Linked DNA regions of Saccharomyces cerevisiae S288C. Each later gene encodes a partner of the first gene's protein in a complex. Each region holds a gene or a part of one and is shown on either strand. Other genes may lie near its edges.

Region 1 (3,041 bases):
TTTCGAATCTTTGGATGGTCTGTTCGCAATTGAACAATTAAAAGAGAAGGGTAAAAAAAATAATGAATGTGAGGTTGTTCTACGCATGGAAGTTGCTACAAAAGGGGTGGCAACTGATGGAAAGACTTTTTACACAAAGATTGACAGCATTACTGACAAATTTCTAATGAACCAGACGCGCCGCTTCTTTTAGTGTCGTTTGGTAACCGCTTTTTCTTAAGCTGGCAGAGACCGCCAAAAATAAGAGAGTCGCTTGTAGTGGGACAAATAATGAACAGAGAGGCTTTTTGATACCAGTATCGTTGAGTTGGGAATGAAATGAAATATAACGATGCAATCGTCGCCATTCCTGTCAGAATATAATCGACGGTCATGTTATATAATTGTTTTATAAACGCCCACTTCTTGGCTGTATCTTTTATAATGTCCTTTTTTCCTGAAGAGGGTTTCCATCTAATTTTCTTTTACAGTCTGTAGCCTTACTTCTGGCCCTTTAACTAAATACATTTGATTTATATTGCATATTTACTCATACAATTGTATATTTGTTGTTCTTTTTTGGTCGGCTACCAGATTTAGTACTTAATGTAACCAATTTGTGAATTTCATAAATGACGTGCCAAACTAGAAAGTGTGGGGCCCTGAGAACAACTTTAAGCTGTTGACATTACCTTATGAGTCCAGTCCATCCTCTCCTTCTTTTTCAAGTTGTTTTACTTCAGGATCCTCATCTGCTGGTTCTTTTTTCCTTGTAGCTTTGTCATCTGATCCTTTAACGTCAGATGCAGTAAACTCGCTTCCCCTTTGACGTTCTTCTCTTACGTCTCTTCTTATCCAGCCGGTGAAATTTACCTTATAACCACTGAAGCTCTTGATCTCTATGGCTTTATTCTTGTAATCCCACGGAAGTACAGGTTTGCTATTATCTCTCGAATTGGCAGAGGGAGGGCTTGTATCCTCTATTTTAGGGTTATTGGCTAGTTGTTCTTGCGATTCTGATAAAACACTACTTTCTTGGGACATACCACAATTACTCGAGAAATTGGATTTATCTTCCGGCCAATATAAGTAAAGAATGTGTTGGCATTATAGTACATTTTGTTGATATCTTTAAAATTACTTGGATTATGAGAATGATTACCCGTCAACTGCTTGGTAAAGTTTTAACGTTCAAGAAAAGCTCTAGACGGCGTAACGCACCTTTTGTTATGAGCGTTAGAAAAATTAGTGACTAAGAGGATGAGATGATAAAATGCATATGATGTTGAATATGGAAAATAAAATGTTATATTCTTACTCAACGTAACCTGCCATTTGTAGGAGTTAAAAATTATGTAGTAGACTTAAATCTCTCCTTATTGTCCTAAATACTTGTAATTACATACACATATATATGTATAAATATTCGGGAAATTTTACAACTGTTGAGATTTCATAAAGATGATAATTTCAGATACAAAGTGTTTCTATATGCCGAAATTTCCGCTTCTAATGTTATCATATAGCTTCTTTCTCTCCTGTCTTTTGTTAATATTTCCATGCAGTTTGTTTCCCTGAGGAGCTTCTGGTAGGTAAAATTCACTATTTACAGCCCCCATAGGCTGAGCGGGTACGGAATAGGCATTCTGCTGCATGCCTTGGGGAAAACTACGCCTGTTAGCACCAGCTGTGTAACGTATCGGCTCCTGAGCTGGTACCATATGGGACATCATTGGAGGTGCTCGCATAGGTGGAGGTCCATTGTAGTATTCCGCAGGTACGACAGGTTGAGCTTGCGGTGAATACCTATTAACGTGCTGCTGTGGATATTGATTGGGGCGAACTCCCTTTGGTACCATTTGCGGCGGATTATTGCTCCACTTTCCATCTAACATATGAGCATTGCCTGCCCGGCTGTTCCCATAAGCATTTGTTGTGTTATTATGATACGGCGGCTGAGTTACCTTGTAAGTATTTACAGGGTGCTGGTGGTTAGGGTTCATTCGTTCCATTTGTTGATATAATGGAACGTTAGATGGAAGATTGGGCACACCTTGTTTTACTGGCACCATATGTTGGGGAATAGGTGAAGCATCTGCCCGTTGATTTCTGGACTTTAGTTCTGGGGGCACAATATTGTTTTGGAAGGGACGTTGTTTTTGTTGGTGAGATGGATAATTATGCTGGTCCCGATATGTCATATGTGGTTGATTTGCTAAAACGTGAGCAGGATCATTATACCCAACGGGTACATTAATCGTGTTCTGCTTGAATCCAGCCGAATTGGTGGAGAATTGTGGAGACCTCGCAGGTGAATATGCAGAAGGTGGAACTGGTGCACTTGCAGGCGACATTTCATTTCTACGATCGTTCTGATAGTATTTTTGCTGAACAGGAGATACACAGTCTCCAGGCGCATTTTTATATGGTTTTGGTGTTACCTGTTGAGATGGACTGACTGCACCTTGTAAGACGTTCAGGCGAGACTCATTCGTAAATGCCTTTTTCGAATCCGAATTTGAATAAGTGGGTTGACTAGGCATTCTTGATGCCGGCAAGTTGTTGATATTTGGAGAATAATATGATGATGAATCGTCGTTGACTTTGGATTCCTCAGAAATCTTTCTAGGTTCCGCTAATTTCCTATCAGCGGTGTATTTGGAACTATCAGCGCAAGAATCATTTGTATTTGTACTTAGCTTCAATGAGTGAACGGCGCTTGAATGGCTGCTTTGTAAGTCATCGTCAGTTATATTGGATGGCTTATATTGATCAAACTTTGTCAATGATTCGAAAGTCTCTGCCTCAGTTATGGAGATTTTTACATCGTCTGGCTCATTAATCATCATTTCTTCAACCATACCGTTTAATTCTTCAATAGCTGAGTCGGTAGCTCTTTTCTGGGAATTTTTAAGTTTGTCACTGTCGTCATCATCGTGTTCGTACATTAATTCCGGTATTTCAATCTTAAAGTTTGATGAACCGGTCTCTATTACTGGTAACTGATATTCATCAGGATTAAGTGTGCTAAACTGAGATAGTACTCGCTCTTCTTTTTTCGA
Region 2 (4,902 bases), on another chromosome or scaffold:
GCGTTCTACTTCCTCAATTGCGTTTGATCTTATTTAATCTCTCTCTAATATATAGAAAAAAAAACCATCTGATTATTCGATAATCTCAAACAAACAACTCAAAACAAAAAAAACTAAATACAACAATGTCTGACGCAGGTAGAAAAGGATTCGGTGAAAAAGCTTCTGAAGCTTTGAAGCCAGACTCTCAAAAGTCATACGCTGAACAAGGTAAGGAATACATCACTGACAAGGCCGACAAGGTCGCTGGTAAGGTTCAACCAGAAGACAACAAGGGTGTCTTCCAAGGTGTCCACGACTCTGCCGAAAAAGGCAAGGATAACGCTGAAGGTCAAGGTGAATCTTTGGCAGACCAAGCTAGAGATTACATGGGAGCCGCCAAGTCCAAGTTGAACGATGCCGTCGAATATGTTTCCGGTCGTGTCCACGGTGAAGAAGACCCAACCAAGAAGTAAATCTTTCGGAACTCTTTGTAGTTACATGGTTTTTTCTTTATGATGTGTGATGTTCCTTAATATTATATTCAATGAATAGCAGAGTAATAAAAAAATTCTAAAAAAAAAACGCTTAAATCGAGGTGGAATATATAAACTTAAGTACGCATATACTCTAGTTCAGTTTAAAAATTAGCTGTTTTTTTAAAAAAAAAAATTCTCTTTCTTTACAAAATGTTCTTAAATGTATGTATGTGTGTGTGTGTGTGTGTGCGTATTGTTCTATTTCACTCCAGCTTAAACATGGCGGTTGCTTCTTCGTCATCAATTTCCGCGCGTTCGATTTTATTTAAAAGTACTTTCTTTGAAGCGCCGAGATTTTTCATGAAATCCGTCTCAAATCCAAGCAAATTATCTTTGAATTTCTTTCTCTTTTTACCGCGAATCCCAAGCACTGACGCTACGGGGATGTCTTCAAATTCATTGAATATCTTGATTAACCCAATATCGCGTCTTTTCAACCTGTTTGGCACCTGGGATTTTTTCAAATCGGCGAGAAACTCCTCTTGTGTCTTACCATTTTCTGACACATGCTTGTTCAGATCTAGCGATATTAGCTTGTCGACCTTGTTTACCGTAGCCGAACTATTGTATTTTTTCAATGGTGTTAGATTTAAATCGTTTTTGTCAATGATAGCAGCGGAGGTGATTTCTTCTTCTGTTTCTGTTGGTGCTGCTGGCGTTACTTTGGGCAGTTGTGGTGTGACTTTTTTCCTGTTCAATGTCATGGGTGAAGAAGATTCCAGTATGGGCGTAGGCGTCAAAAGTGATCTAGTCTCCTCTACAGTCTCCTCGCTCTTGTCATCTTCCCCTTCACCGTCCTCTTCACTCTTGTCACCACCGATACTGGGCTTTTTCACCTCTGTAACATTGGTACGCTCGCGCTTCCTACCCTCCTCCATCTTACTCATGAATTCTCTTCTCTTGATGCGTTGGTTGGCTCCGAACTCTAATTCATCTTCAGGATCCGTGTCGTAACTGCGTTCCGTACACCTTAAAATGAACTTTCCAGCAGGTGCACCATCTTCCAATCCATTGAAAAATCTTACTGATTCTTCGACCTCCTCCTGGCTTAAGTTTGTCTCCAAATGAATATATAGCAGCCAAATCAATATGTTTGATCTATCCTTTGGCTCGTATTTCGAATAGTCCAGTATATCAAATAATGTTGTTGCATAAGCTGCTTTTGATTCTTGTTTTTCATTTTCCGCTTCCGTTTCTTTTACTTCATTCTGTTCATCTACCATATCTTGCTCCTGAGCTTTCGATTCGACTTCCACATACTTGGAAAGAAACCTCTTGTCAATTAGGCCGGAATTATCACATATGCTAAACAACATATTAATAATGTTAAATTTGTTAACGGTGTCCACTTCACCATCATTTTGGTCGACCTTTTTGTAAGTCTCCATCAATGAGAGTTGCTCATTGCCCCACGGCAGATTTTTCAGAATAGATTTCAGTCTAGGTGTATCCTGCAAAAGTTTCGGATCATTGGCATGTAATTGTAAAACTGGCACGGAGTGAAAAGTTCTCAATTGCGATGTCATTTCTAAATAAAAATTTATAGTGGTGTTCAACCTACCAATGTTGACCAATAACGCTAAAACACAAGTAGAAAATGCTACTTGTTGGTCTAATAATAGTTTATCTCTGAGAATTTTGGAACATTTGATAGAAGTGGCTATTGTCAACACATACAATTGTGCGAACGTCAATTTATCGTTAAATACAAATGTCCTTGCATCGTACTCTTTGTCGGTCACGTTGATTGATAATTTATCGCCATCGATATTAATGGGTACAATAGAGTTCTTGTATAGGGGTTTTAGAACATTAGTGAAGATTTGCCTCTTGTCCATCAACAGTTCTTGCATGAAACTGAACTGAATGTCCTTTCTATTGAATGGCTCGCCGTCAGGTTTCTTCAAATGACGATTGTATTTACTGGCATTGCTTTCTTTGGGTTTCCTTCTAACAGTGTTAGTTGTCACTGGCCCCGTTGCCGTACTTGCTCCTGTTGCTTCAGGCACTGTAGAAGGTTCGAAGTTGAGCAAGATGTTGGTATTTTCTTCTTCACTTTGCGTGGAGTCATCATCATTTTTATCGTCGATTTCAATCTCGTGTATAACTGGAATGCTTTTTGTAGTCACAGTCTCGGTCTCTGATTGAATGGAGCTTGGGGATGCTTCTTCTTGTGATCCCGATTTTACAGATTGCATTGGAGAATCTGCTTTTGTTTCGTCAGAATTGTCTTCTCGTAGTTGGAAAGTATCATGAATTGGATCGTATACTCTCTTCCCCATCTTTAATTAGAGTGTCGCCTTTATTTAGCTTTCGATTTTACTTAGTTAATCATGAACTGTTTCCAATACCATATCAGCATTCATTGGGCGTTCTTTACTTACTTGTACCGTTACCGCATTCGAGGGTAACCTGTTTTTCGTTGTACACGATATGCTACAGAATTGTCTTAATATGGGCTAAGAAAAAAAAAAGTCTGATTATTTCTGATACTGCAAAATATATACTGGCTTGGTTAAGAAAAGTGTTGCTTTAGTTCCTTTACATCAAGAGTCGTTAAATTGTTTTGTGTCATAACAGTAGTGGTCTTTTGAGACATCAATCGACTCTCAGGTTTTCCTTCTGTTCATCTTCTTGTTTTCGGTAAAGGTCAGCCAGCATATTTCAATTCTCTCTTTTTTGAAATAACATTATGTAATCTTTCAATCCTTTCTATCCAACGTCTGCTAAATAATTTATTCAAATGACATGTAGACCAGAAAATCGAACGTTGGATAATTTTTCATCCTGAATCATGTTGGTCTCAACTAGAGCAATTTTTTCACGTCCTCTGACACAAAACTCGATAAACTGTCGCATCAGTTTAAAAAAATATGTACGTGTATAATAACTGAATTTAAAAGGATAGTAAATAATTTTTGCATTTTATGGAATGTCAAAATACTAATAAGTCGCAAATATAGCTATCAAATACCATAATTTAGCTACTTATAGAAAGATGCCCAAATCCCGACCAAAAAGGACCATTGCGTCTTCCTCGTCAGTTTTTTATGGAAGTTCACCTTTCCAAAATGATGGCTACATCAAAGTAATGGAACTCGTATCACACATTGTCATTGAAATAAATCATTCACCTACCGCAACAACGGATGAAACGAGAAAGCAGAATAATCCGGAGCTGAAAGTGAAAGAACCAGTTTGTAACCTCAAGAAGTGGGAAAATAACACTAACTTTATATTGGAAGATCATACGAAGAATAAAACAAAACTTTCTAGCACAGATAGGATACGTAAGTGGTTTAGAAGACATATATTAAAGGAAGAGATCGAAATCCTTTCCCATGGAAAACAATTGAGTAGTATTGATGAGGATTATTGCCCTTCAAATGTTCTTGTAGGATGTTCAAGAGATCTAAATAAACTCAGATCATTTCAAAATTTTTAGGAATATAAAATTTCTCAGTAAGAAAAAGAAGATGAATGCGTTTATAGTATTTTAAGTTGTTCAATAGAATATCTTCAATATGTTCATATGTGGACTAAAAGAAGATTTTGGTATATGTCTATAAATTTATTGTTGGTAAACGCCATTAAGCAGCTTTCCAAGAATATGTTATCATTGAGGAGAAGTACGAAAACTGATTATGCACGATTAGGAAAAATTCTGCAAGGAGTATTAAAAAATGGCCTTCGAGAAGAAATGAAATCTCTTTCGATGAGCAATGGTCTTATGGATAATTTGATAGACATATGAAAAAGTCAAAAGTTTTTTTGGCCATATGCAGTAAAAACTTACCCTTCAAATTGCAAAACCATTAGTTTTATTATATTTTTTTTTTTTTCTTTCATTGAAGTATACACGAAATCCCATACGCAAATAAACAGTCGTTGTATCATCAATTTCGGCTGTCTGGATGGCGACTACGAGAGGAAGCTTGCTTGCCATGATAGGACCAATCTCAATTTTTAATTTTTCATTAACTAGCTAATTTTCTATAATGCTCTAAGTTTCCTTTTTCGTTTTGTTTCTTTATAGTGATGATGCTGTTATTGTGACGCTATCAAATCATATACTGTCATCAATCCTCATCTCATCGGCTCCGGAACGCGTTGAATATGTTGTTAAACAAGCTCTTTATAGCTAGCTATAGTAGAAAAGGAAGGAAAGAAGTCTAATCGCTGTATTATCGACTGACAAGGGTTGTCAGTTGCCTTCTTTTATTTTTTGTACTCCCCTGAATCGAGCGGATGTATTTTTTAACAAAGTATTCAGAATTGTTTTTGTATAATCAAAATTTGTCGACGCTAAGAAAATGACGGACGTCGTAATTCCGCTACTAGGTTTTGTGTGCTCATCGATATTTGACACCTATTTTCGACACTT

Evidence for each region. Proteins that work in one complex are often made in the same cells at the same time.
Region 2: IES4 (region 1) and IES1 share a complex: the UniProt entries of both Saccharomyces cerevisiae proteins name them as parts of the chromatin-remodeling INO80 complex.

Annotation. Positions count from the first base shown.
Region 1 is NC_001147.6:687,606-690,646, reverse strand, and holds IES4 (Ies4p), read right to left. Parts: upstream 1,024-3,041; coding exon 673-1,023; downstream 1-672. Other genes in the region: MSB1 (Msb1p), read right to left, coding at 1,467-3,041.
Region 2 is NC_001138.5:107,131-112,032, forward strand, and holds IES1 (Ies1p), read right to left. Parts: upstream 2,801-4,902; coding exon 722-2,800; downstream 1-721. Other genes in the region: lipid-binding protein HSP12, read left to right, coding at 126-455; YFL012W (uncharacterized protein), read left to right, coding at 3,517-3,963. UniProt on the Saccharomyces cerevisiae protein: Probably involved in transcription regulation via its interaction with the INO80 complex, a chromatin-remodeling complex.